Linked DNA regions of Mytilus edulis. The protein of the gene in region 1 binds, or shares a complex with, the protein of each later gene. Links are inferred from orthologs where the notes say so. Each region holds a gene or a part of one and is shown on either strand. Other genes may lie near its edges.

Evidence for each region.
Region 2: trithorax group protein osa-like (region 1) and probable global transcription activator SNF2L2 share a complex: the UniProt entries of both Drosophila melanogaster proteins name them as parts of the brahma complex. The link is inferred for Mytilus edulis from reciprocal best matches to the Drosophila melanogaster genes osa and brm.

The regions. Positions count from the first base shown.
Region 1 is NC_092353.1:43,280,048-43,296,389, forward strand, and holds the start of trithorax group protein osa-like, read right to left. Parts: upstream 8,234-16,342; 5' UTR 7,884-8,233; coding exon 7,152-7,883; intron 1-7,151. UniProt on the Drosophila melanogaster protein: Trithorax group (trxG) protein required for embryonic segmentation, development of the notum and wing margin, and photoreceptor differentiation. Required for the activation of genes such as Antp, Ubx and Eve.
Region 2 is NC_092344.1:5,664,629-5,680,786, forward strand, and holds the start of probable global transcription activator SNF2L2, read left to right. Parts: upstream 1-8,479; 5' UTR 8,480-8,600; intron 8,601-16,158. UniProt on the Drosophila melanogaster protein: Transcriptional regulator. Acts as a coactivator, assisting one or more dedicated transcriptional activators of ANTC and BXC homeotic gene clusters. Can counteract the repressive effect of Polycomb protein.

The DNA.
Region 1 (16,342 bases):
AGCATCAAAATTAAAGATAAACTACACAATTTTTTAATTTGTAAAAGTGAATAACTATGGAACTGTTAGAGTGGCACCATCAAAATGGAACTTGGTCTTTGAGTTGTGGTAATAGGCATTGTGCATAAGTTTTATTTGGTCGAGGCAAACTGAAGTTTTATAACAGAAACCAATTTTGGGACGCAAGTAAGGTTGTACATACCAACAAAAATAAACTTAATGCCCCCTCCGCTACGACAAGGACATCAACATTCTCCCAAGAAATTGTAATTTAAGACTCCCAAAACAACAAATCAATCTGGGGAGGCCTTTTCCATCACTACAACTACCAAGGTGCTCCCCTGGACCCAGTTGAGAGCCACCAATTTGTCCTATTCTAATCATTTCTTTGCCAATTCATATAAATTTCCTTTCAAAGATAAGCTTTGACCAGTAGGTTTAAAATATTGTAATATGCGTAACCTAAAATCCGTGTAATATTCATTCGCCTCTGTTTTGTTTCATGCTTCACGAAGACGTGCAACATATAGTTCTTTTCACTCTAACAATTACCATGTTTTTAGAAAATAATTTGAAAGTTTTGTATAACCATTATTACTGTAAGTTGCAATTGGTAGGCCACTGTCAAGATTTTGATAATAAATGTATACAGAGAAATGTTTCAGTCATTTTTTGAAATGGTAAACCCCCAAAAAATTAAAATAGCAAATCAATAGCAAGCCTAAACTTGATGTCAAGAATCAAGGCAACTTCGGTTAAATTTTGCCAGGATGTTTTTAAGAAGTTGCAGAATAACTGACTGATATAAGATTTGGTTAAACTAGGAGAATGGAAACCATTTTGGGATGCTGTGGATTCATTTATTTTCGTGGGTACCAATTTTCGTAGATGGTAGAAAACTTGCCTTTTCACGAATATGCAATTTTGTGGTTTTGCCAACGTCTGCATACAACCTGATAGAAAATTTGTAATTTGTTGAACATTTAAATTTGCGATTAACCTGTACCTATGAAAACCACCAAAACTTGGTATCCAAAGAATAATAATGAATCCACAGTATATGGATGAACGCATTGTTCTCCCCAGGATTTTTTTAAGGCGCAAAATTCAAGGGCGCGTACCTCCTTTTTAAAGTGAACTTTTGTGATCTGAATCAATCAGTCATAAATCACAACATGCAATATTGCTTTGTGTTGTGTGTTTAATAATGCAGAGTATTAATGAATTTACACAAGAATATACTATATATGAAATAAATTGATTTTAAACACAAAAGTTATTTATATTCAGTCAATTAAAGAATGTAAATATTCATCTCTGTACTCTATGCTACTTCTAGGGATATTATTTCAAGATAGTGTTATTTTGTTGGACAGTCTGTTCCTCAACGTTGTCTTAATCCTCTTCAGGGTTGAAAACCCCCTCTCATAATAACTTTTGCTTATACCCCCCTTAAGCCAAGAAAACTCAGTCAGCCACTTGTCACAGAAACCAGAAACATGGTGCTTGCTGTTATCACTTGCTAAAACTTTAGCTCAGTTGGGAATAGGAGAAGCAATTATAACATCTGCTTATACTGACAGCTGAGTGTAGAGGGAGGTGTATTCCCCTTTCCATTAGAAGTCATTGATCTGAAAAAAAACCTTCTACTTCCATCATGTCTTTTGCTTAGAATTCACCCTTTGTTATTTGCAGAGAACATGTTCATTCAGAATTAACAAGAATGTGTCCAAAGTACACGGATGCCCCACTCGCACTATCATTTTCCATGTTCAATGGACCGTGAAAATGGGTAAAAAATATAATTAGGCATTAAAATTAAAAAGATCATATCATAGGGAACATTTGTACTAAGTTTCAAGTTGATAGGACTTCAACTTCATCAAAAACTACCTTGACCAAAAACTTTAACCTGAAACTCGCACTTTCATTTTCTATGTTCAGTGGACCGTGAATTCAAAAGTTTAATTTGTCTTTAAAATTTGAAAGATCATATCATAAGGAACATATGTACTAAGTTTCAAGTTGATTGGACTTCAGCTTCATCAAAAACTACCTTGACCAAAAACTTTAACCTGAAGTTGGACAGACGGACGAACGGACGAACAGACGGACGAACGGACGAACAGACGGACGGACGAACGGACGCACAGACCAGAAAACATAATGCCCCGCTACTATCGTAGGTGGGGCATAATAAAATCGAATATGGTTAAGATAGTTGGTATACAACTTTTTAAAACAAAAATATGTTAATGAACAGCTGACAAGTTTCCATAGTTTGACATTTATTTACGCTTCCGTGTGCATTATTGTTAAAACCTATCTTTGGCAGGTAGATATAAACCAAACCTCCTTAAAGTTAAGACCATTGGAATTATTTACTAGTCACATTATACAGAAGACCGACGATTCCGTACCCGTGTTGATTGTCACATAAAATGTTCCCAACGCACGGACTCATGATCGATGTTCAATGAACATTTTATTCCTAAAAATATGACAGTTTGAAACGAATTTACCTTGTAAGCAACATTTTTCACTTTCAATTAAAATAAATCACTTCTCGTTATCTTTAATCAAAGTTTATTTTAATTTTTTCAACTACAAATACTCTCATTCATAATTTTCATCGTACATATCTTTAGCAATGTGTATTCAAATCTATCACGTGTTTAAATAGATTCTTCTTCTCGACCAATGAAAAAATTTGTCATATAAATTGTCAAGTAATCACACACACGATGCTTAAATACAATGTATTTGCGATCGATTTCTTCAATTTCTGCACTGAAGTTTTTAATTTTTTTTAATTTTCTTCTGAAAATATCTATCTTCTTGATGATCATTTACGCTATTACATGATAACATAGTCCGATAAGGCTGAGATAAGCATGGCTCAGGTAAAACTATTATAAGTTATATAGTTCGCTACTGACCCCATACGGATCCATAGAGGGTTAGTAAAATCCATAGGGGGTGAGGCCGGAGGCCGAGTCCCCTATGAATTTTATTCACCCTCTATGGATCCGTAGGGGGTCAGTAGTTGACCGTATAACGAATTTATCAGATGCTGGACTTTTTCTGCGGCGTTTTGTTGAAAAATAAACAATGAAACACAACAACATTAATAGATGACGTCGCCATAAACGCGTCATGAACAGTCTGCACCAAAAACTTTTTCAACTACTAGTCCGAAGACCAATATTCTGACATTTTTCTTATTGGACCAAACAAAGTTTTGCAAAAACTTACTAGTCCGAACCAAATTTTACTAGTCTGGGGCATCGGACTAGTGGCTAACCGTGCAGACTGCATGAACCCCATATGAAACTTACTAACCCCATACGGTCTCATAGGGGGTCACCACGTGACGACATTTAACCAATCACAACGTGATAATTCATCTGTGGTCCGATAAATTATCAGATATTGCGTAACACTGACCGACCTCTCAGCAGTGATCAACAACTGGACAATTTTAACAAACTTTAATGAAAATGTGAAAATTAACACGCTGCGGGATCAAGTAGTAAGGGACAGCGGCCAATTAAGACGTTGCGGGATTAACGAAAATATTATGAAGGTGCTGCAGCACCGCAGCGTCATATCGGCCTGGGGAGAACACTGGAAAGTACAATGAATAGACAGACAAGGGTAAAACTTAATGCCCAATCCACTACAACAGGGGCATAAAAAGTAGAATGAATCATTGTGAGATCCGTTTCTACGAAACATGGATAATTGCTACAGCAGAAACTTTTGAGTAGCATCTTAGAACAGAATGATATGCTACATTAAAAAATTTAAAATTTCTTGTTTTTCATAATTTATCTTGTATAAAATTGACAATGGAAATGGGAAATGTGTCAAAGAGACAACAACCACCATGGAGCAGACAACAACCAAGCCAAAAGGCCACCAATGGGTCTTAATGCAGCGAGAATCTTCCGCACCGGGAGGTGTCCTTCAACTGGCCCCTCAAGAAATATGTATACTAGTTCAGTGTATGCTTGCATTGTATCAAGAAAATTTAACTGAAAATACAGTGATGACAAGCATGAGTTTTTACCGCAAAGATGACAATCCTAGGATGTCACTCACTTCACCTGGAGTTGCAACCCCTGATCATAATGTTTTGTTTGATTGAATTCATTGACATACATAATCACTGGGGTAAAGCTGATGACTGTAACTGCATTTACGGTCATCCCAAGATGTCGGATGAAAAATTAGGTCAGTATCTGTATTGTCTGTTACAGTGTTTCTATATCATTTTCTTTACAAAGTATACATTGATACGATGTAAATTTATAAAAGATTCAAACAGAAATCACAAATTACTACCGAAAAATGTTCAGGAAACGCAAAATTCAATTTGAAAAAATCGCTAAGATGTCCGTAAATCATTATCAAAATATTTTCAAGATGACCGTAACATAAAACAAGGATGACCGTGATTGGTAAACAGATGACCGTAACTTGTAAAAGATGACCGTAATTTGTAAAGATTGACAGTAATTAATAAAGGATGATCGTAACTTTTAAATGATGACCCTCAATTTTAAGAATATCCGTATTTGTATTCATAGCTTTTTGTTGTGTTTGTCTCAATAGGGGCTTAGGTAGCGGATATAAACATGTTTCATCAATTTGTTTGTAACTGTTTGCCGTATTTTGAGTTCATGACAATGATAGTAAATTGCAAATTTCTCGTTAACAATGAAATATTAATTTATTGCCGATGATAACGACTTTAAAATTTTAATACAAATTGACAGAGATACGACGAAAAGTCGAAGAAACAAGAATGTGTCCCTCTGAAGTGTCTCTAGTACATGCCTCATCTACACTATAATTTTCTATGTTCAGTGGACCGTTAAAATGGGGAAAAAAACTGTAGTTTGGCATTATGATTAGAAAGATCATATCATAGAAAACATGTGTACTAAGTTTCAAGTTGATTGGACCTCAACGTCATCAAAAACCTCCTCGACCAAAAAAAAACTTTAACCTGAGGCGGGACAGACGGACGAACGAGCAGACGAACGGACGAACAAACGAAACGGACGCACAGACCAGAAAACATAATGCCCATGAATGGAGCATAAAAAACACTAATCAAACATACGAATATACGGCAGTGTATGGTAATCGAGCCTGAGGAAGCAGATTAAAATCTTAGTTTGTCTTAATATATATATGAATAACATGAATAACATTGCTGTATATACAAATTGACAAGGTTCCCCTCAGTGTAGGATCCAAAAGGGGGTCCCTTTTTATTTACCGATCAGTGCATTTGAATGGGGACACATAGTTTGAACCCCCTTTACCCTGGGTTGGGACCCCCCTTTTTTTTAAATGGCTACATCCGACCGCCCCAGCCCCTTGTGATACGCTATACGCATAAGACTATTTTAAGGATCTACTTTGCTGGAGCTCGCCTTCACTAGTTTGGTCGTAGTATTTTAAAAACAGGTTCTGTTATTTTACTTGCAAGACAAAATAGAAGACAAATCAAAGACGATATAATATCAATGGCTGTAGTCTACATCCATTGGCATTTTTAAAAAGTGCATTTATTATATGTCATTACAAGGAATTCCAGAAATAAAAAAAAAACCTTTTGGCTTTTAGTTAGAGGCTGTGCAGGACACTTTTTTTTTTTTATTATACTTGTTAGGTGTCATTTAATCGCGCTTTTGTTGCATGTTTTCCCCACTTTTTCATGTGCATGTTTTGTTGTATGTTCATTTTAAAAATTATACCCTCTACCGTAAAAAAAGATATATATGGTGAACTCTGTATTTAAAGCACGTCTTATTTTCTCCTACCTATAGGATAATACTCTCATATAAATATGATTTATATCAACACCATTAATCATTTGATACAAAAAAAGTAGTCATACAAATACGGATATTTCTTAGAATTGACGATCATCCTTTAAAAGTTACGGTCATCATTTAGAAATTACGGTCATCCTTTACAAATTACGGTCATCTTTTAACCAATTACGGTCACCCTTGTTTTGAATTGCTGATTCTGTTACGGTCATCTCGATTGTGATTTACGGTCATCTTAGCGATTTTTTTAAATCGAATTTCCCGTTTCATGCACATTTCTCGGAAGTAATTTGTGATTTCCGTGTGAATCTTTTATAAATTTACATCGAATCAATGTCTCCTTTGTAAAGAAAATGATATAGAAACACTGTAACAGACAATACAGATACTGACCTAATTTTTCATCCGACATCTTGGGATGACCGTGAATGCAGTTACGGTCATCAGCTTTACCCCAGTGATAATAAAACATTGTTATCAAGTGAAGGGTTTTACAACTTCAACAATCATCCTTTTACACAAGATTTACCAGCAAAAAAATTGTCAATTGAGGGAAAATCATTTGCCATTTGAAAAATCTTAGCAGAGCAGTATATATACATGTATTCACACAAATAAAATTTACATAATAGTCAAATCAAAAAGATGCACAGAAGATTATTTTAATTAAAAATGAATTTAACACAAGCAACAAACTCTTAAAATATCGGAAAACAAAACTACCAGAACAAAGTCTCAGAAAATTATGAATCTTGTTAAAGTCTTATATAAAAATCAATAATATTTTAATGCATGAAATATCAAATTCCATAAAATTACTCATGCATACAGAAAGGTAAACAATTTCAAAGCATCTGTCAATAATAGATTTACTTTCATTTTCTTGGATGTCATTCAACAATTTAGGGGATTTCCAACATCTATGCTTTTATTATCTACACAAATGAAAATAGATTATCCCAGGACTGAGATTAATTGATTGCTTTATGGTCTTCCCAGCCAATCAGACAAAGGTCACAACAGTCTTGCCTCCAAATTCAAAATTGATTTTTCATTCATGTGATAAAAATGCATGACCAATAAATCCTGGTAATAATGAATGCAATATTTCTTTCTATTTATGTTTTTTATAATTGAGTATAGCTTATCAATAACCGCTTGGAAGAAAAAGTAATTATGAAACTAGATTGATAAGATTATTTACAACTCTGGCGGGCAATACAAACATGATCAATAGATTAGTGTCACATGGCAGTTAATGACTTCCTTTAGTCAAAGTGAAAGTAGATAAATACAACTTACCTGACCCCTATAGGGAGTCCCTGGACCTTGTGGAAAACTGGCTGGTTGTCTATTTCCAGTCCAACCTTGCTGCATGTTATATGGTGTCCCTTGCGCTGTCATTTCGGGTGCCACTTTCTGGTGATATTCACCATAATTATTTCCCTGCATCCTCCCCGGTGTGTTTGGTGTCTGCAGAAGCTGATTTAGTGTTGGTGTTGGTCCAGACTGCTGTGAAATGCTTTGTCCTGACAACATTGATCTTTGTCCTTGTGGATAGGATTGTGGCATTCCTGGACCACCTGGGCCCATTTGTGGCCTCATAGGCATCATGTTCGGTTTGCCTGGATGTCCACTCTTCATTCCAGGCTGCATATACTGAGCCTGAAAAGTATTTTGATTAATAATTTCTGAACTTCCTGCCATTCCGCCATGTTGATCGCCTGGGTTAAAGTTTTCACGATTATACGGATTGTACCCTTGCATTTGCCCTGGATGCATCATTGGGTTCATTCTTCCGTAGTTGTCAACCCCCATCATCTGTTCCCTAGATGATGGAGGATAGTTATTCATATCAACGTTCATGTTAGGCCCTTCAATTTGATTAAAATATTCGCCTTGTTCATTGCTCATGTTTTGTTGGCCTCCATCTTGAAACGAGTCCATTGTGTTTCCCCGTAAATTCTTCGGAGATTTAAGCTTTTTGCTCTTGACTTGTCTAGTATGCCCTTTACCAGGGCCAGCATTTTCCATACTTCACTTACCGAAAAGTTCCTGACCCTCCGGTCGACTCCAGTTGCTTCAGTTTCCTGTCTTTGTTGTATACACAGAAGAGTTTCTTCAGCATAATTCTATTTACCCACCCTTCTAGAGCGAGAAATTGACCGTGACACCTATGAATAATCAACTCACATGTTTCGGGATACTTTTCTTGAATTGCGGTGCGTCCTAATATTGTCAATAAACACGCATGTATCGAACTGAGGCAGATTGCAATAGGGTAAATCTTAGTCAGATGGCAGCATGGTCTTATCAAACAGTGTATTATGTTGTTCTCTTCAATAAGCGGGAATATCGGAAGAGAATAGCGATTCATACGCCTCTATAGGGATCGTGAAAATATTGGTTATGGGTGCTATGTATACTTTAAAAACAATAACAATCATTTCCTGTGTCAAAATATACAATTTGAACACGGAGCATGACTTCTATCAAATTCGGGAATTCTTTTGCGTAAATTGTCCACTGAGCGCAGATATACTAATATTGAGTTGTGAAGCGTCCGAGGCATTTCTTTTCAACACGGCTTGTTCAATTAGCTAATCGTTTCACCTCCCACGTATTGTTTCAAAAAAGTGACAATTTCATAATGGAATGGCTTGATTTTGCATCAAATGTAATTCAAATCCGAATTCAAAATTCAAATAACATCTTTAAAGATTTATTCGAAGCGTTTCTATGGCGTATATATTGTAGAAAACAAAAATTTGACCTTTACTCTGGGGAGATGAACAGAAGAGCATTTGATTGCCTGAAGGCTTTCTATTGACGTCAATCAGACGGGAAAATCTGATATTATTGAGCATGCAAATGTATCTGTTTTCATTTTTTCCTTGACAGTATTGGTGCATAGATCGCATGTAGCAGTTTATTGACTTTGAAAATTTCAAACTAAAGTTAAAATAACGAAGATAAAGTAAAATGTCAGAATTTTCGAACAAAGAATAATTGGTGCAATTTTAGGAGATAAAATCCTATTTGCAATATTTAACCAGGCTGTTCCCGTTATAAAACGTCCACCCTCTGAAATTCTCAAAAATTATTTTGCACGGGAAATAACTCTAGGAAAAATATGTGATCTACCACATGAGAATCATATGACGCTAAGATTTTCTGCCAAAAAATATTGGTTGTATTTAAAAATATTTTTATGAAAAAAGTAAATTAACTCAAATATGTATTCTGGCCAAACGAGAAAAAAACCTCGTATGTAGACATATGTGGTTTAATGTTCAGAATTTAAACAAATTTTGTAAAATTGTAACTGGCTTGTAAATGCAGTTGTAGTGCATACTGGAACCTGCATGTGAATTTGAAATTTAAAAAAAGACTGAAAGACTTTTTTTAAAACTCGACCAACCTTCTGAAAAAAATTGATAGGACAGGAATCAGTATATTAAAATTAATTTCTTCCAATTGAAAGAACTAGTCCAGCTATAAAACATAATTTGGCATTGCATTGAAATATAAGTTGTCATCGAAAAACTTGAAGAACTTGAGAAATCTATTTACTGCATCGGTTCGTGGACACAAGCCTAAACCCTACAAAATGTCATACTTAGAGGAGATTTCAATCTGCCACATCTCAACTAGCAAACAACCCGAATAACCCACAGAATGAAGAAGCTAATCATAATTAAATCTCATATAACTACGACATGAACCAAATAGTAAGTAAACCAACTAAAGGACAAAACACACTAAACCTACTCATGACAACCAATCCACTGAGGACTTATTAGTAAAATCGAAGTAGCAAAGATATGAAAGCCAAACTTCATCAAAAAGAAACCCAGTGTACCTTTTTAAAAAGACCGCTATGATTGGACCCAAAGAAAACTTCCTAGACAATTTTGGGAACTGAATTAACAGCATGGAAGAATACACTGTAGAAGAAAACTGGACATACTTCAAAGAGATCATGTTACAAGCAACTATTTGTATATATAAATAATTCATCATGGGCCTTGGCCCACATATAACTCGGTATAGGTAGAAAACAACATGTGATTTAGATCTCTACACATATCAAAAGACAGACACGAAGCAGACAGCGTAGATACAGTGCTGCTAAAACACAACACCAAGAAAACAAAATGACACAAGTACAAACAGATGAGAGACTTTGTCAAGAAGAGATGAACGAGGCCCACGACAATTATGTTCGATAAATCCTAAATCAAGAGGACGAAGATAACACTTAACCAAACATTGGCAAGAAATTCTGGAAATATATAAAATCAAGCAAAAAGACACAATGGGAATATCATCCCTCCAGAACAACCTCGGAGATCATGACAGCAAAGGAAAACAGAAATATTGAACACTCAATATGATGGTGTCTTCACGACAGAGGATACAAAAAATATACCACATATGGGAACCAGTACAACTCCAAACAATAGGAAGTAACATATCAGATCGGAAAGAGTTGAGAAAAAGTTTAACTTTGACTAATAGACCCAACAAAAGCAAACAGTCTAGATGAACTACCAATCAGAAGCACACTGCGAAATTGCACCGTTCATCACACAAAATTCTATGAACCGTCTTATGACAGTGAAAATGTTTCTGAAGATTTGCGACAAACAAACAAACGCAACCGTTCCTCACACAAAAGTATATGAACCGTCCTATGACAGGGGAAATGTTTCTGGAGATTGGCGACAAACAAATACAACTGTTCATCACACAAAATTCTATGAACCGTCCTATGACAGTGAAAATGTTTCTGAAGATTGACGACAAACAAACACAACCGTTCCCCAAACAAAATTATATGAACAGTCCTATGACAGTGGAAAGTTTCTAAAGATTGTCGACAGGCAAACATCACAGCCATTGACAAACAGGGGAACAGAAGTCAAGCAGTAAACTACCGTCCCGTATCGTTAACCACAATATGTTGTAAATTCATGGAACACATAATCTATATGCACATCATGGAACATCTTGAAGAACATCAAATCTTATCCTACTTCCAACACGGATTCAGACATAACCGATCATGTTAAACCCAACTTATTAACACATAGTAACAGTTGTAAGAGAACTGGACCATCGAGGACAAATAGCATGCTTATTCTTGATTTCTCAAAATCGTTCGATACATTCCCCAACAAAGACTTCTGAAAAAAATGTCACACTAGTGAATAATATATAACACTCTACAATAGATTTCGTCATGGCTAACTCAGCGACACCAGAGAGTATGTCTAGATGGAGAAGCCAGTGAGAACAAATCCGAGTACGATCCGGATTTCTACAGGTCCGGTATTGGAACCACTTTGTTTCCTAATATACACCAACGATAAGACAGAAACAATGTCATTACATCAACCCTCCCTCACCCTCCGTCTCTTTGCTGACGACTTGCTACTACTAATATATAGATCCATTAAAGGTATCGAGGACAACTTACAACTACAACAAGATCTGACAGAACTGACTAAACGGGTGGAGCGGTGGCAAATGACATTCTACCCAGCTATTAAAATGCTACACACTGAGGGTAACAAGAAAAAAAAACCAAACGATAAAAGAGTATGAAATGATGGGACAACAACTATCCACAGTTCACCAATATCCATACCTCGGAGTCGAATTATCAGAAGATCTCAGTTGGGATTCACACATTAAGAACGTTATCACAAAATCCAACCGAGTATTAGGATTCCTAAGACACAAACATCTGGAAGTGTCTACAAGATATCAAAGCGCAGGCATATACATCGCTAGTGCGCCCACATCTTAAATTAAGTACGCCTCTGCAGTATGGGATCCATATCGCGGAATACATCACATTGACTCCCTTGATATGAAAAAAAAGATGACCGACTGCCAGATTTGCGACATCAACATACAGTACCAGGGATAGTTACAAACATCCTGAAAACCCTAGAATGACAAACGCTATAATTTAGACGGAAATCAAGTAGATTGAGCATGTTTTACAAAGCCACACATGGAAAGGCGGCAGTCAACATACCAACATACACGAGAATAAAATTGAGAATGAAAATGAAGAAGGTGTCAAAGGGACAACAACCCGACCATAGAGCAGACAACAGCCGACGTCCACCATGCGATGGGTCTTCAATGCAGCGAGAAACCCCCGCTTCGGAGGCGTCCTTCACCTGGCCCCTAAAAAAATATGTATACTAGTTCAGTGATAATGGACGTCATACTCAACTCCGAATTATACACAAGAAACTAAAATTAATAAGCATACAAGACTAACAAAGGCAAGAGGCTCCTGACTTGGGACAGGCGCAAAAAATGCGGCGGGGTTAAACATGTTTTTTTTTTAGATCTCAAGACCATCTACCTCAATAAAACAATACCATCTAGAACAATTCACTCATATCAGTACCTCCACAGATGCCTACAAATACAGCTATATACAACGCACCATCATCGACTGGCTCTGCCTCTCTGTAATGTGTCAAAGAGCAACTTCTGAAACTGCAGCTGTAAACAGAAACCACCTGTTACTATCCAATTTTAAATGAACTTGTAAATACTTAGCACGCAGGTTAACGTTTAAACAGCAGTATCTGTGTTATGTTTTAAACTGCCGATCAATAGTATAGATGTAGATGTTAAATAAAAAAACAATACTCTAAGTATACAACAAAAAATGATCTTAGATTAATAACAAGATACCGATGATGATTAAGTTAAAACATTTTGTAAAGTTCGGAGGATGTCTTCTTCAAAAACAATCTGCATTACTATGGGAACCAACTGTGCTATACTCGTCTTGCCACTGTTTGCTCTCATTCATTTGTGATAGACTTCTTATTTCAGGTCAGGAAAAATGGTTAGAAGCTAACATTTTCCTTTCACTTCACGTTCCGCTGCATTTATTATGATGTCCTGAGCGCTGACTGTATCGTTCAAAAGGTTAATGACGGTTGGCTGACCAATCTATCACAAGATCCAGTTAATAAGCCACTCTAAAATACTTACTTGTGTATATGACAATACGGGTTGATGGACATTACTACAAAAGGACTTTATAACTCTCCCCCTATACATCTAGTCAATGTAGAAAAACCCTACACACACAGCAATACGCGCAGTAAAACTCAGTTTAAAAGAAGTCCGAGTATGGCCGAAATGACTTTACAAAGTATGGCCGAGCTGGCAGTACGGCCGATATGATTTTACAAAAGTATGGCCGAACTGGCATATCAGAAACGATTTTTACAAAAGTATGGCCGAACTGTCAGAATAGTCGAAACGACTTTACAAAAGTATGGCCAAACGGCGGTATAGCCGAAACACTTTGTATGACCGATCTGACGGTATTACCGAAACGACTTTACAAAGTATGGCCGATCTGACGGTATTGCCGAAACGACTTTACAAAGTGTTATATACTAAAATTTTGTCTTTGGCAATTCATAATTTTACTATAACAAGTATGGCCGATCTGACGGTATTGCCGAAACTTTACAAAGTACAACATGTTTTTTTTTTAGATCTCAACTCTCCCCCTATACATCTAGTCAATGTAGAAAAACCCTACACACACAGCAATACGCGCAGTAAAACTCAGTTTAAAAGAAGTCCGAGTATGGCCGAAATGACTTTACAAAGTATGGCCGAGCTGGCAGTACGGCCGATATGATTTTACAAAAGTATGGCCGAACTGGCATATCAGAAACGATTTTTAGAAAAGTATGGCCGAACTGGCAGTATAGTCGAAACGACTTTACAAAAGTATGGCCAAACTGGCGGTATAGCTGAAACACTTTGTATGACCGATCTGACGGTATTACCGAAACGACTTTACAAAGTATGGCCAATCTGACGGTATTGCCGAAACTTTACAAAGTACAACATGTTTTTTTTTAGATCTCAACTCTCCCCCTATACATCTAGCCAATGTAGAAAAACCCTACACACACAGCAATACGCACAGTAAAACTCAGTTTAAAGAAGTCCGAGTATGGCCGAAATGACTTTACAAAGTATGGCCGAGCTGGCAGTACGGCCGATAAGATTTTACAAAAGTATGACCGAACTGGCATATCAGAAACGATTTTTACAAAAGTATGGCCGAACTGGCAGTATAGTCGAAACGACTTTACAAAAGTATGGCCAAACTGGCGGTATAGCCGAAACACTTTGTATGACCGATCTGGCGGTATTACCGAAACGACTTTACAAAGTATGGCCGATCTGACGGTATTGGCGAAACGACTTTACAAAGTGTTATATACTAAAATTTTGTCTTTGGCAATTCATAATTTTACTATAACAAGTATGGCCGATCTGACGGTATTGCCGAAACTTTACAAAGTACAACATGTTTTTTTTTTTTTAGATCTCAACTCCCCCCCCCCCTACACATCTAGCCAATGTAGAAACCCTAAACACACAGCAATACGCGCAGTAAAACTCAGTTTAAAAGAAGTCCGAGTATGGCCGAACTGGCATATCAGAAACGATTTTTACAAAAGTATGGCCGAACTGGCAGTATAGTCGAAACGACTTTACAAAAGTATGGCCAAACTGGCGGTATAGCCGAAACACTCTGTATGGCCGATCTGACGGTATTGCCGAAACGACTTTACAAAGTGTTACATACTAAAATTTTGTCTTTGGCAATTCATAATTTCACTATAACAAGTATGGCCGATCTGACGGTATTGCCGAAACTGTACAAAGTACAACATGTTTTTTTTTTTTAGATCTCAACCATCCCCCTATCTAGTCTATGTAGAAAAAAAACCACACACACAGCAATACGCGCAGTAAAACTTAGTTAAAAAGAAGTCCGAGTATGGCAGAAATGACTTTACAAAAGTATGGCCGAACTGGAATATCAGAAACGATTTTTACAAAAGTATGGCCGAACTGGTAGTATAGCCGAAACGACTTTACAAAAGTATAGCCAAACTGGCGGTATAGCCGAAACTCTTTACAAAGTATGATCGATCTGACGGTATTGCCGAAACGACTTTACAAAGTATAGCCGATCTGACGGTATTACAAAAACGACTTTACAAAGTATGGCCGATCTGACGGTATTGCCGAAACGACTTTACAAAGTGTTACATACTAAAATTTTGTCTTTGGCAATTCATAATTTCACTATAACAAGTATGGCCGATCTGACGGTATTGCCGAAACTGTACAAAGTACAACATGTTTTTTTTTTAGATCTCAACCATCCCCCTATCTAGTCTATGTAGAAAAAAACCACACACACAGCAATAAGCGCAGTAAAACTTAGTTAAAAAGAAGTCCGAGTATGGCAGAAATGACTTTACAAAAGTATGGCCGAACTGGAATATCAGAAACGATTTTTACAAAAGTATGGCCGAACTGGTAGTATAGCCGAAACGACTTTACAAAAGTATAGCCAAACTGGCGGTATAGCCGAAACTCTTTACAAAGTATGATCGATCTGACGGTATTGCCGAAACGACTTTACAAAGTATAGCCGATCTGACGGTATTACCGAAACGACTTTACAAAGTATGGCCGATCTGACGGTATTGCCGAAACGACTTTACAAAGTGTTATATACTAAAATTTTGTCTTTGGCAATTCATAATTTTACTATAACAAGTATGGCCGATCTGACGGTATTGCCGAAACTTTACAAAGTACAACATGTTTTTTTTTTAATATCTCAACTCTCCCCCTATACATCTAGCCAATGTAGAAAAACCCTACACACACAGCAATACGCACAGTAAAACTCAGTTTAAAGAAGTCCGAGTATGGCCGAAATGACTTTACAAAGTATGGCCGAGCTGGCAGTACGGCCGATATGATTTTACAAAAGTATGACCGAACTGGCATATCAGAAACGATTTTTACAAAAGTATGGCCGAACTGGCAGTATAGTCGAGACGACTTTACAAAAGTATGGCCAAACTGGCGGTATAGCCGAAACACTTTGTATGACCGATCTGGCGGTATTACCGAAACGACTTTACAAAGTATGGCCGATCTGACGGTATTGCCGAAACGACTTTACAAACGGTGTTATATACTAAAATTTTGTCTTTGGCAATTCATAATTTTACTATAACAAGTATGGCCGATCTGACGATATTGCCGAAACTTTACAAAGTGAAACATGGTTTTTTTTAGATCTCAACTCTCCCCCAATACATCTAGCCAATGTAGAAAAACCCTACACACACAGCAATACGCGCAGTAAAACTCAGTTTAAAAGAAGTCCGAGTATGGCCGAAATGACTTTACAAAGTATGGCCGAGCTGGCAGTACGGCCGATATGATTTTATGGTAAGTATGGCCGAACTGGCATATCAGAAACGATTTTTACAAAAGTATGGCCGAACTGGCAGTATAGTCGAAACGACTTTACAAAAGTATGGCCAAACTGGCGGTATAGCCGAAACACTTTGTATGGCCGATCTGACGGTATTGCCGAAACTTTACAAAGT
Region 2 (16,158 bases), on another chromosome or scaffold:
CTGGAGACAATGTTATCTGCATGTATTTATCTATATTGATTAATTTTAACACTTTAAAACAATTATCATAGTGGAATGGATTAATAATTAGTTGCAGAATGTCTAGTCGAATATTAGAATGTAAATACAAATTCCAACTATGCATGCTTTTTCAATGGAAATTGTGTCATCACAATGCATTCTTAAGTTAATACCATGAAAACCCATGAGAAAAGGACATACATGTATGTTAATTTGTTATTATTATTCTATTAAAAGGTATGTTGTGTTAAAGGGATCTCCTGTAGTTGGTGATCGCAATACTGGTATACCAGTATTGTCCACAATACTGGTATAAAAATTTTGTACCAGTATTGTATTCCAGTATTGTGCTTTTTTTTAAATAAACAATATAGGTAATTAATCTTTTATTAAAGGTGTCACATATATGCATAATGATATTAACATACATTTTGTATGACATGACAATTTTATTAGGAATTATTGTGTTTAACTGATGATGCCATAGATGGTACACTGTGATTGTCATCAAATAAAGTTGGGTACCACGATTTCCTGAGATTTACGAGAAAAACGTAATATCCCAAAAACAAACTGATATATCCAGAGAAAAAGATTTTTAATGGTGTTATAGATGTTATACTGCTTAAATTAGTGTTACAGTATACAATAATAAGGTTTAAGGCGTTCATAATTAAAAAAATACACGCAATCTTCAGAAAATCGATTTTTATATATATGTACATGTACATTTATGTCTTGTGTGAAAATGGGTTACACTTATTATGACTGGACCGAATGAAATGACCGAAAGACAGGACCAAATTAAAAATGCAAAAATTTTTTCATTTCTCAAAGGATTAATCTCAAATCATTTGATATGTAAATTTAAGGAAAAAAAATAGATTTTTTTCAAGAATCTTTAGAAAACGTGATAATGACAGGACCAAATAAAAATGCAAATTTATACTTTATTATTTGTCAGAATCTACCAAGAAATCATGCCTGCAACTTAAAGGGAAACTTCGCAAAAAAATCAAAAATTGATATTATGTCCATTCTGTATAAAAATTCTCAAATTTATAGATATTAAAGTTTTATTCCGCTAGATAAGAGATCACCATCGATTTTAAATTTTGAGTATCAATTCTCTGCGTTCCGCCATTTTGTCATCTTCTACGATCAATAATCACGATATGTCTATAAACCACAAAGGACCAAAACTACAGTAACCGATGTAGTCGTAATTGCGTGTCGATATCTTGTCAATCGTACGATTGTTTTATCTGACTAACTAATTTGATACGGAAAATGTTCTCATTTTTTTTAAATAACCATAGTCTGTTATTTTTAAACTGTTAATATTGGAATTAGTGAAAAAGTCGAAGTTAAACTCTTAAATAAGTGTTCCGTGAAAATTGTTTTCGAAAATCTAATTCGTTCATAATTCTTTAAAGTAATAAACTTTATTCAAATAAATTCGGATCTTCGCTCATCTGATCACCAGCATGGCTAAAGGTATTACTCCCAAAGGTATTGTGAGGTGACACGTCCAGGTATTCAAGCGATTTCCTGTCGGGCTTGCAAGTTCATGCATCGTTTCACTTCTGTAGGTATTGGTCAGTGTACACGGCCGATAACTTATAACTTTCTATTTTGAACTATCAGGTCTATAATATACAGCTCTGTCTTGCGTGTCCGAAAGTGATACAATATACTAGTTATAACTTAACTCATACGCTTGTATATAAATAACATTTCTGATGTAAAGAATATTATTTATAAAATATAAATAATACCCCAAAAAAAAGATTTGAAGAAATAAAAATCTATTTACATATTTTTTCCAAGGGTGAATTTGGGAAAATGTAATATATACTCGTTGTCAATAGTAAAGGACAGATTGGAACATACCAGAAATATTGATTTAAAAAATGTACGCACTTGTCGACGATTCGTTTATACGCCTGGATAGAAAGTTACGGAACTATAGCGCAATTTAAAATATATACATATATACATTGAACATAAGAAAGAAACATACATTTTGTGTAAATTGGGGTCAAAGATTTGTAAATAGACTAGTCCACGTATGCCAACAGTATTTAATCAACGAATATTTTGATGAGAACATTAAGTAAATGATATATCAAACGTTCAAGAATACGCATGTAATATGTGTCACTGGATATAAAAAAAATCATTCTCAACACCTACTTCCTTATGGGACTTCCCCTTTCAGTGACCTGCAAATTTAACAGATGATACACTTTCTAAGATTTATATGTCCAACAACGACCCACTGCTCTACATGTGTTACTAACAGCCTAAGATAGAAGTTCTTTTGTTAGGTCAATTCTCTTTCGTACAATACCAGAAAACATGGAAAATAAGTTCTTTAAATTTTGACACTGGAATTAATACCATTTTTTCGTGCGAGAAACTTTATATCTGGCGATGAGCAGACATGGGCGTAAAAACAATAAAAAGATAGGTTTATTATTTGTTCATTTATTTAACATGTATAATATGAATATCATTTAGTACACTTCGGTGACGGGTCTATACAAAAGCAGAATATACCATGATGGTTTGATTTCGTCAAAAGATTTAAGAGATCTGACAAATAGATTATCACTTCAATATTGCAAGACACCCATTTATAACTTTTTACTTTTGCATACCAAACTTTCGCAAAAAGATGAGTCCTTTGATTAAATAAGAAGTTGTGGTTTGTTTTCTTGGGAGACACGTACCCAAATGAAGTGGACTTAAGCAGCTATATAAGTCACGGTATGGCCTTCAACAGTGAACAATAGTAAAAGTATATTGTATAATTCAACTAAATGTGAACATGAAAGAATTAAAGCAGACATATATATTTTATCTATACATATACAAAAGAATATTTTGAGCCTCAAATCTAGCATATGTCTATTTTACAACTATTCTGAGTCTGACGTGTCACTTTCACATTCTTTGAAGTCTTCATAAACACCATCTTGTGACGGAAATGCTTCCCTAATAATGTTAACAACACAAGCTGGAATAGTCACTCTGTTTCTCTTGCCAAGTGGTTGTCCTTTTCTGACCCAACAAACAAACTGACGATAAGCCATTAGTCGGCTTTGGCTCTGAGTTAGTACGTCTGGAGCTCTCCCTCTATGGCGCTTGTACCTCGAAAAAATTATATAGCTGCCTGTTGTCCAATCCCTTTGTTTAAATGTACATTTGATACTTGAACAATAAAATATTTTGAATTGAATATAGCTGGTTTCAAGAACAACCGGGTTCAGGCAAACTGTTCTGAAATCGATATTGTCACTAATGCATTCACCCAATTCAATATTACCATCAAAGAGAGTAAATTCGTGGCAACAAAGACATTCTGTCAATAACGGCATAACTATGCATTTAGTACACGAACACAAATCTGTCGGGTTAAAATGGCGAATGTAGGACAGAAAGTCACAGGACAAAAAGTCACAGACAAAAAGTCACGGACAAAAAGTCACAATTCATTTTTTCTGATTATTTTCTTTGAATAAAAAATGCTTATTTTTACAAAAAAAATTTTGTATTTTTCTTGAAGTATTGTATATGAACCAGCTTTGTAAGCAAAAGTTATCAAAAAAATAGCAAAGATGATCAAATAATTGTTAAGAAAACAAAATGTCGAGGTAGATTGGCACTTAAATGGCTTCATGGTGCCAACAAATATGACCTTTGCATGATTAAAATTGAATAAATCTTTTTTTTCTCAAGTAAAATGATAAATTTCATTGACTTTAATATGAAATTATGTATTAAAAAGTAAGTATTTCAAGATATTTCTCTTATATATTCAAAAAATTGTAAAAAAATTATTTGTGACTTTTTGTCCTGTGACTTTTTGTCCTATCAAATTTGTGACTTTATGTCCTGTGACTTTTTGTCCTGTGACTTTCTGTCCGTTTACCAAAATGGCGAGGGTTGCTAAGGATATCTTGATTTCGGGAACTTTCTGCAGCTTCCATTTCATAAAGCTGTTCTTCGGTATACTCTGGCTCTAGTGCGTACCCAAATTGACCATACTCGTCAAAAGCTACCTCTCTTGACGACCTGGAACCACTGTTAGTACTATCATTCTCCGAACAAGATATTTTTAGTTATGATTTTATTTTTTGGACCATATATACACTGTCCTATAGAAACAAGCACGCACAAATCATAAGAGAAAAATATGTGAATAAGTTAATTGAATTATCAAAGTTAATATCCTTTGGTCTCGAATGTATGTTAACTAATTAATGTGTTTTTATAGGCTAGCTCAAATCCTCATCCAAATAATATAATCTATATGTAATAATCGTTTCCTACCACACCAAGATTAAATGCCAAGCGGTAGACATATTTTAGGTACTAATTAAGTAATTAAATGAACAATAGATAACAATCATTAATCATTAATGTGCAAAGATTTAAAAACAAAAGTATTTTTTCTTTGTTCGTACATATTATATTCCGCTTCGGTAGAGTTGTCTTCAGATAGTTTCAGATATTAATTAATACATGGGTTTCAAAAGTCTAAATGTAAGTGTTCTCGTACATTTTTTGGCCTGATAAAGACAATCAAAATGCTTTGGTAAAGCTATTTCTAATTTCTAAGTTCCCCTTTTTTATGAGACATAAATCAAGGACAAGAGGTGTATATCATTTCATTCTGACACATGAATTAAGTTTCCCGTCTTTAACCGAAAATTGTTTATTTCTTAGTAAATTAATTTATTTGAATTCAAATAAATAATAGCACCAAATATAATTAAATAATTCCACGGCGATCTATTTTCATTTGTCACCAACTTGAATATGTAGTTTAAATGTGTGTATTAAATGCTCCCTTGTTTTATAACCCACTAATCCCAATAGACAGTCACACCTGGCAAGGTGTGCCCTAGAGGCGTGGTTAAATACCGAAGTGCAAATAACAATTTACCTTTAAACAAGCCATCTACGAGTATTGCCACAGAACCGTGAATACACACATCGTATAAACCTAGTCATAGCAGAGACAGTAAAAGGTCAATAAGAGTACACTAACATATTGTCTTTACAGATTATTGTACTTTAATTTGTTCACCTTATCAGTCCGATAATGCATTAATCAAAAATAAATTTATAACTTTTTGTGTTGTCTAAAAAATTAATTCGGATATATACGATTAACATAGAAAATTTATCTCATGAATATGTACATTGGATGTCTGTGCGTTTTATCTTCTTATTATCGGCTGGTTATTAGATGAAGCATAAGTCATCGGCGCGCTTACGATTACGTTAAAATATCATTAAAAACCAAGACTTTTATTGATTGTATTTTAAATCCCGGCATGCAAAAACCAGGAGAAAACGTCACGACCTACAGGAAGTTGTTAATATTTTTTCATTAATTATTGAATTTCTCCTTTATTGCTGCACATATAGCGATAAAACTTTGTGAATATATATATTATGTCATAATGAACATATTTAAACTATAAGTAAAAAATCGTGAATTTTCCCTTTAACACTATAACATGTATAAAAAGTAGCATAACACCATAACTAATCTTTTTCTCGGGATACATTAGTTTGTTCTCAGGATATAATGTTTTTTTCGTATTTCTCAGGAAATCGTGGTACCGAATAAAGTTTTAAATCTTCTGATGTTTTTTTCTTAACCATTCTGTCTCAGCATTTTAACAAACTCTGTACTTTCTTCTATTTTTTCTTTCATCTCTCTCTTTCCAAGATTCATGAAGTATATTTTAGTGAATTTTATATTGACATTAATGCTGTTATAGCTTCTGTATCATTAGCATTGGTATTGTCTATTTCTTCTTCAGATGTGATTTCTGTAACCCCTCCCCCTTCCTATATTGGTATTTAGGTATTCACTCTCTGTGGACTTTCTCTAACGCTTACTAGATTACAAGCTATTTCAGATAGCATTTGTACAGCTCTCTTACTGTCAAAATGCTGGTCTAGTATTTGTACCAGTAGATATACATGTATCTGCTACTATTTGTATTGTCCATGGTTCTGAATCAACTGCTTCAACCCTTAACATTCATGTAGACAAACTAGTAAATTTGATTATAACAAGGTTCCCCTATAAAGCAACTTTTTACAATTAATGAATAATATAGTTATCTTTTGTTGTGAAAAATTAATAAGAAAATAAAGAAAAACAAATGCATATGATCTTAGTAGACAAAAAATGTATACATGTATAAAAATATCTGTCAAATATGTGATGGCATACATGTAAATGCTGAATTTACAGTGTTCGAGTCTAATGATTTGCTTGAATTATTACTCAGATGATAATAAGCTTTTATTTTATTTTATCTATATTAAATTATATAAAATATAGAAATATGATGAAATTATTAGCAATTGTTTATTTGTGCAAGTATAGTAATGACTTTTAACTGGTTGTTAATTGATTTCACAATTAATTATTATCATACCTGCCAACTTTCACGATTTAGGCGTGTACTACACGATTTTGACCCTTTGTCACGATTGCACGATCGTGATCGTGAAAAACCCTCTAAAACACGATTTTGTGAAAATCAACACGAAAAATATGACTGTTCCCGATTTTGAACTGTGTACAATGGAATACAATTGTGTTCAGCCAATCAAATTCTATGTTTCTCATGATCAAATTAATCAGCCAATCAAAAAAGTTTTCTCTCAAGAATATTCTAACATCCTAGATTTTGAACTTGTGTTGTATTCCTCTGTTTGTTCAAATCGTGAACATGGCAAATGGTTTTTCACCTGCAAGGAAGTTTTTACACAAAATAAGAATAAAAGCATGACTGATTGACAAACTACAATGATGCAGTACTACCATAAAGATAATAAATACTAGTTTATTCACTAATTTATTGATATTACACTTGCTGTAACAAATGTTATAAATTTATGTATTCAATTAAATTACCAAATTATTTAAAGTACAATGTACTGTTCTTTATTTTTCACATGGACAAAACAAAACCCCCCACATGGAAATCTCTTAAATGAGGGACTTCTCTTAGTCAAGGGGTCATTTTACTCTTGTAAAAAATAAAATAGAAAAATCATAAAATGTAGATTTTTTAACCTAAAATTGGGAAATTCTGACATTATATTTAGAACAACTTTCTAAATGAAGGGTCCAATTATTTTGAAAATATAGAAGATATAAGGCCAAGAACATATCAAAATTCTTGGACATGTGTTGACCATACTGTATAATACCAGATAGATCATAAGATGTATAGTTCTTTGGGAAAAGTTTCTTCAAATAATATGAATATATATGTGCTCATTTTTACTTAAAAAGTGGGTTTTAATGTCCTTACATTGAGGGGTTACCCCTAAGTGTTGTTCCTAACCTGATAAAGGTCCTTCTTTGTGCATAATTTTAAATTGGAAAAGTAAACAATTATTTAATATCCTTACACATGAAATTAATTCCTGGTCTTGCAGCCACATGTTCATCTTTTCTACTGATATATAATAACTAGAATCATGCAAATAAAATTAAGAAAAAGGCATGTAAGCTCATCTCACAAATATGACACTTTTTCTAGACCACAAAACAGCACACTCAAAATAGTTGTCGCAAAGTATTAATGTAACCTTTGAAATTGTTGTCGTGCGCTAAAACCCCCATGGACACTTTCAAAAGTTGGCAGGTATGTATTATCCTCTATAATCTTTTTGAGTTCATTTAATATCCCTTTGATCTTCAATATAGTCTAGTCAACAATACAACTACAATACTGGTATATCAGTAATGTACGAGTATTGCTGGTTTTTTTAATAAAAAGTTACAATACTGGTACAAAATTTTTATACCAGTATTGTGGACAATACTGGTATACCAGTATACACCTTATCGCTATTTCCGCTTGACCCGAGAATCTGTTCCGCTTGAACTATTGGCGTCATACAACAATCACTTTTCCATTGTGGCGTCAGATATTTTGAATTATGACGTCAAAATTTTACGGGACCCTGTGTGATGTCCAGTAATGGCGGACAAATAGCGATAAGGTGTATTGCGATCACCAACTACAGGAGATCCTGTTAAAGTGTTACTTTGGGGGGACAAATAGATGGTCGAATTGAATACTCATTTGGAGACGCTAGGGGACGAATCTGCTTGTGTGTGAAGTCGGTAAAGAGGAGATGCCAATGAAAAATCGTGCAAGTTACAACATGCAGACCCAACAAAAATCAAATAAAGTTTAAAATCTATTTGCAAAGTGTTTGTGCTTAACGTGAATAAACGGCGATAAACTGTTGAATTTTGATAAAATTTTCAAATCCTAACAGTTATATATTAATCTAAATGTTACCTTTTAGGCAAATTAATGTAGCAATATTTGTAATGAACCGCTTCTATGGACGCCGGAAGTTTCAATGGGAGACAACTTTTAAATTTAACCTTTTTTTGAGGTCAAGGTTGAAGTGACTTGCGTCAGATGAATGCGCATAGAAAATAAAGCCATCGACAACTCAACAAATGCTTTGATTATTGTTGACCTAATTATAGAATTTACCTTTATTTACAGACACCGGTAAGTTTACTTGTGTATTGGATTAGTCTTTGGCGCGGTTTCTAATTATTTATGATCGTTAAACACAATTTAATGATTTATGTGTGTTGTAAAGTCGGTTCTTTGTTCGTGTCTGTGGTGTCGATTCTCTTCTTGGTGGAAATATTTCCATTGAAACTACCATTGTGATTTAGCCATCTATGTTTATAGACATCATTCTATTCCATCGTAGTTATAATAATGTGTACAGTATATGATTATGAAGTCATACTATCAAATTCAGAAATATTTTTCAGCAATATTCAAAAATATTCATATCATATCATATAGAATACAAATTTGTATAAATGATTTGTTGAATTTTATTCATTGTTATAATTTTATATTCTTTTACCCTACTTAACTTGTGATCATACATTTTGTATAATATAAAAAGGTTCAAATTATAAATTTATATGTGCTGCCTTCTGGGGTTTTATTAATAAGCTATCAGAAACGACAAGAAACATCAACATGATCAAGAAGATTCATCTAGCACAAGAAGACTAATTTAGGGACAAGAAAACTAACTTATAAGCCTTAAGAAATTCAGATTATTTATTTCAAATAAATAGATATAGAAACGTGCATCAAAGTGTTTTAATGCCCGTGCCGTAGCGGATAATATAGTAGCCTGAAAGTTAATATTAGAAAGACTAAAGTCATAATTTTTAATAAGGCTGGAAGGAAAATTCAGGAGAATTTTCGACTGCAGAATAACTTGATTGACTGTGTCGCTCATTACAAATATTTAGGTGTTCACTTTACTGCTTCTGGAAGTTTTCATCTAGCTAAAACTGAACTTTATAATAAGGCTCTTAAAGGGAAACTTCGCAAAAAAATCAAAAATTGATATTATGTTTATTCTGTATAAAAATTCTCAAATTCATAGATATTAAAGTTTTATTCTGCTAGATAAGAGATCACCATCGATTTTAAATTTAGAGTATCAATTCTCTGCGGTCGGCCATTTTGTCACCTTCTCCGATTTGCAGTCAAGATATGTCTAAGGACCAAAACTACAGTAACCCGATGTAGTCGTAATTGCGTGTCGATAGCTCGTCAATCGTACGGTTGTTTTATCCGACTAGTTAACTAACTTGATACGGAAATTTTTTTTTTTTTTTTTTTAAATAACCAGGATCTGTTATTTTTAGACTGATAATATAGGAATTAGTGAAAAAGTCAAAATTTCAAATCATAAATAAGTCTTCCGTGAAACTAGAATTGTTTTCGAAAATCTAATTAGTTCATAATTCTTTTATGTAATAAACTTTATTCAAATAAATTAGGATCTTCGCTCCACTGATCACCCGCATGGCTAAAGGTATTACTCCCAAAGGTATTGGAGGGGGTGTGAGGTGACACGTCCAGGTATTCAAGCGATTTCCTGTCGAGTTTGCAAATTCATGCATCGTTTCACTTCTTAGTGTATTGATAAGTGTACACGGCCGATAACTTATAACTTTCCATTTTGAACTATTAGGTGTATAATATACATATCTATCTTGCGTGTCCGAAAGTGATATTACTAAACTCATACGCTTGTTTATGAATAACATTTCTGGTGAAAAGAAATTTATTTATAAAATATACATGTATGTAATATATATACGCAACTGGAAGTACACTAATACCGAGGGATGTGAATATTTTCCAGGAAAACTATAGAGTATCAAAGTTTCAAATCAATTTCGGGATTTATTTTCTCTCTTGATATTCAATGACAGCAGTTTGCAGAATAAACTGCTTGTCCGTTTTACTGGTATTCTGGCCAGTTGAAACAGACTTATAATTACATTAAAAAATAGGGAAAGATGACATTTAATTCGTTCATTTTTTTTTAAACATCGTTGGTCAAATAGCTAAAGTATTATATATAGTTACGGAGTGAGACGAAGAGTATTTTAAGAAGGACATTCCCGATTATGTATAAATTTTGTTGATGTTTTTCACACTTGAAAAGCATATCTGTTCGTAATTTGTTGATTCCATTCCAATTAGATCCTTTATTTCCTGTCAATTTTTTAAAACATTTTTTTTCAAATATCTGAAGTATTCATGTGTTGTGAGATTTAAAATATTTTGATGAGCACATTAATTCCTAAATAGGTAATTAAAGATCACTTTGGATTGACTAAAATATATAATTGCAATTGTTAATGATCTGTTTGAAATATTTAAGGCTGCCGATCCTAATTTGAAATAGTACAATTTTTAGTTCATAAACTCGTGTTTAGAAGGCTATTTTTATTTATAAATACTTCAATTAAAATAATTCAGTATTTTATCGTTACTAAAGTATTCAAAAGTCATAATTCATTAAAAGTGATCTTGTGCAAAATATAAAAAATATACAACAGCTATCCAGTTATTGTGCGATCTTATTATTCCCGTTAATTAATTTTAATTAATTTTTTTTACATTCATGTGTCTGAAACTTTGTCTGACTCCCGTTTACAATTGATACGAAATGTTATTCACACCTGAAATGCCAGTGAACCGTGACGCCTAGATTTCACTGAATGATGATCAAAAGATTAGAATTACATAATGCTAATCTTTTAATTACCTTGAGTTAAACTACGCATTCCACATTCTTTAGGTGTCACAAAACAATACACATTTTATTGTTTCCACCGTACAAGTAAGTGAAAATGATTGCTGGAATGAAGCAAAAAGGTCAGAATACAAACATGTATTTTTAATACACTATCGATCATGTCAGTTTCATATGTTTGTTTAAAGTATTTTTAGAAAAAAAAAATCATAAAAATGTTCTATTGTATGATTTACTTTTATTATTAAAATTCGTTTTAAAAAATCCACACGATCTAATTTTAAAAGTTGCATGGCTATCACTTATTTTTCGTTGGTTAATAGCTACACCAAAAGTCGTCGATGCGCTTTAAATCGCGTTATTAGATGGTTAACGAACAAGACTTAAATGAGATATTTTCACTCCCGGCATGCATCAAAGACTTAAACTACGTCACATAAGTCAGGAAGTTTCAAAAAATAAAATTAATAATTCCCAATTTTCTTCTTTATTAAATTTCATATCAAAATAAAACTTGGTGAATATGTTTTTTATGGTATTATGAACATAATAAGATGAAAAGTGAAAAATCGCGAATTATCCCTTTAAGGCCTACTATAAACTTAGAAAGGATTTTATCAATTTGTCTCCTGGAATAAAATCTTGTGTTCATATTTTTGATCATACCCTTAAACCCATTCTGTTATATAATTCAGAGGTATGGGGAGGTTATAATGTCTCTTGTAATAAATTACAGTCTTCCTTATTTAATCTTGAAAATATTTTTAAAAATCTTAAGTGTGAGAATCTCCATCTTAAATTTTCTAAATTTATACTTGGTGTACACAAAAGGAGTGTCAATTTTGCTGTATTATCAGAACTGGGACGTTTCCCCTTACATTATGATATTGTAAAGTCAATTGTAAAATACTGGTATAGATTTGAAAATCTTACAACTGAATTCAGTCTATTGAAAGATGCTTATAAATGCAGCCAAGAGCTTCACAAATCTAACATAACTTCTTGGTTCTCATTTGTTAAAAAAGTATTAGAAGTTTTTGAAATTAAACAAGAAGTAAAACATTTCGGACAATATAAATTTTTGAACATATCTAGTAAATTAATTCACACTAAATATATTAGCAATTGGTATGCTAGCCAAAATAAAGCTTCTGATGGAAAACTGTTTAATTATGTGAAATTTAAGCAGAATTTTGGTTATGAAAATTATCTTTCTTTAATTAAGAACTTTGATTTTAGAAGATCTATATGCAAATTACGTATTTCTGCTCATAAGCTTCAAATTGAAGTTGGTCGTTTTTCAAATATTCCACGAAATGAATGAATTTGCAAAAAATGCTCCTCTGGCTGTGTTGAAGATGAAATCCATTTTTTAACTAACTGTGAAAATTTTAAATCAGATAGAGATGCTCTCTTTGACTTTGTTTGTCAAAGAATTCCAAATTTTTCTATACTTGATAATCAGCATAAATTTATTTATTTATTAAACTGTGAAGACAATCAGGTCCTTAATGCTGTTGGTAAATTTATTAAAGTGAATATGAAGTAGTAATTGTATTGTAACTGTATGTAAAAAAAATAAAATTGTTTGTATCTATGTATCTATGCAAATCATTATTCTTTTGCCTTATTCATGTATACTCTGTATGCCCCTTGTGGGCCCTTAATTGGAAATAAAATATGTTCTGTTCTGTTCTGTATACATGTAATTCTAGAGTAATGCCTCTTTAGGCCAAAAAAAAATATATGTCTGTTTACGGTTACCCGACCGACCCTAAGCCATTTTATTTCAGTCGTAAAGTGAAAAATTAATAGAACTTGTCTCAAAAGCGAAGTAAGGGTTGCCAATAAATTTAATCAATTGCCTGTTCACAATTGTGAATATGACAGCCGTTTTAAGGAAACTGGCAACTCGTGTATTGAAATAAAAACTTCGCCGCCATTTTTTTCCAACCAATAACCAAGGGAAATAATCCAATCATTAAAAATTCGGGTAAACTCGGCCCATGGACAACTCGGACCACGGTAAGAAGGACCGCACAACTGAAAATACAAAAAATAAAATGAAGAAAAATAATAAAATGCCTTAAATGGAAAAACAGACCTACCTACATGTACCCTATTTATTTTGATGATGTAACTTTAAACAGACATATAATTTTTTTGTTGAATTTATACACAATACTTAAATCTAGTACAAATTTGGGTAGCGTCACTTCAGTTTTGTCCCTTTACACCTGTATATGATTTGCAAGTGGGGGCATCATCTGTGCCTCATGGACACCTTCCCCATTTTTTTTTAAGGTTCCACTAAAGTCAAAATATAGGACACTTCACAAACATCCAAACTGGTTCTTGGGGTGAACACTAAATTTTTCAAAAATATCTGGAGGCCTGGGAGAAGACTTTATTTGATAAAAATTGGTATGGATGGTACTGTTACATGCAATGCAATACAAGCTAATGTTGTTTTGTCACATATATATGTTTCAACCGGTTTGGCCACAACATAACACTTTCAAGTTTATTTACAATTTACACAGTATGTATATGTTAAGTATATTTAAATGATTATATGTTCCCATAGTTTAGGACTTTATTCATTATCGGTTGAAAAATACAATACAGGCGAAGTTCAGATTTTTATGCCCCACCTACGATAGTAGAGGGGCATTATGTTTTCTGGTCTGTGCCTCTGTTCGTCTGTGCGTCCGTTCGCTTCAGGTTAAAGTTTTTGGTCAAGGTAGTTTTTGAAGAAGTTGAAGTCCAATCAACTTGAAACTTAGAAAACATGTTCCCCATGATATGATCTTTCTAATTTTAATGCAAAATTATAGTTTTGACCCCAATTTCATGGTCCACTGAACATAGAAAATGATAGTGCGAAGTTCAGGTTAAAGTTTTTGGTCAAGGTAGTTTTTGATGAAGTTAAAGTTACATCAACTTGAAACTTAGTACACATGTTCCCTATGATATGATCTTTCTAATTATAAAACCAAATTATAATGTTGACCCCAATTTCACGGTCCACTGAACATAGAAAATGATAGTGCGAGTGGGGCATCCGTGTACTATGGACACATTCTTGTTTTTAAGTGTCCTAGATTTTGACTTTAGTGGAACTTTAAATAGAGTTGGAAAATGTAAGAAAATAAGGGAAAAAATAGGGCCTTTTGAAAATGTCATTACATGTATCTATTCAGTATCTTTCAATTGCATACATTGAGCATGTTAAGTACTGTATGATTGTGAGGCTTTGGAGCATATCTAGTGGTCCCATGGTTTTGACCACCAAATTTTGTGAACCACAGACAGTCACACAATTTTGGTATTAGTAATAGAAATTATAGTGAGGATTACCAGATTTTCTTCAAGGACTCTCAGGGGGAAAAAGATTCAGAGATATCTGTGACTAAGTTCAGCAGGAAACTGTGATTCATAACAGTTCAGGAACATGCTTGCTATTAAAGGGACACAATTGATGCCCACAGTAATTCCTAGAACCTGTCAATAAACTTTATTGCAGTAACGCAGTAAATTTGTCAAGCGGAAAATTTTTAGAAAACCTTGTTTACTTATTCTCAACTGAAATGTATAACTGTTAAAAAACAAATGTGATCCATACAAAAAACAATTAAGCAATTTAAGGATTGAAGGATCAAAGGTAAAATGTACATTTGTAATGCCCCAACCCAAATATGACATGTACATGTATGACCACTGAGTATACGGCGCAGGATGTTTGTGCTTTTACATACGTTTGCATTTTTATACGACCGCAAAAATTTTTGAGGTCGTATATTGGTATCATGTCGTGGTAAATTTTGCTAGCTTTAATTATACGACCGCATAAATTTAAAAAAATTTGTTGGTTGTATATTGGTGTCATAGTCAGCGTCTTCCGAACACGGATTGTTTCCTGATACTAACTTTTGTATAAGTAAAAAGAAATCAATAAAATTTTAACACAATGTTTATAACCACAAAAGGAAGCTTGGGATTGATTTTGGGGGTTATGGTCCCAAAGGTTTAGGAATTAGAGGTCCAAAGGGGCCAAAAACTGCATTTATCTAGTTTCAGGACAAGAAGTTGTGTATTAGTTTTTCAATTGTTCTGATATTGTACCACATTGTTTAATACCATAAATAGAAGGTTGGGATTTATTTTAATGGTTATTGGGCAAACAGTCTAGGAATTAAGGGCTAAAAAGAAGCATTTTTCTAGTTTACAGACAATAAATTGGAGTTATCTTTCTTTGTCCAGAATGGTTGTTGAATCACCTTAAACCAATGCCTCATGAAATTTCTTTGAAAATTTGAGTTATCTTTCTTTGACCAGAATAGTAGTTGAATCAACTTAAATCAATGCTGTATACAATATACAATGCAATATTCACTTTTACTACCAACTGATAAATTAAAGCAATCTTTACCATTCAGTGATTACAAGTATTTTGATTACTATTCCAACATAATGCTCTTTTACAAGTGGAAAAATTGAAGAATTTTTTCGTTTCCGTTCATAACTTAAGTTTGTCTCAACTTAATTTAATGAAATGCTTATTACCTCTAAACTCAGTTTAAGTTCAATTTTTAGCAGCTTCACTTTAACAGTTCTTGAGTTATGTCCCTTTATATCGTTATATGCTAGCGGAGGCATCATCTGTGTCCCTTTGGACACATTCCCCATTTTTTATTTGGCTCGCGGGTAAATGATTTTCAGAAAAAAATTGAACATTTATTTTTCATTACAAATTTTATTAATTACCTTAAGTAGTTGTTACTTTATCATATGGTACAAAAATTGTTCCAAAAAAATCAATACGTGTTTGCCCCTGGTGACTTTTCAAATGTAGATATCATTGAAAAAGCTCCAAATTATCTCCCTTTGGTGCAAAAATGCCATTTTTTGGCATTTAAATTGAAATATCCTTTTTTAACTCATAGGTGACCTATATCTTTTATTGTTGTTTTTGAATAA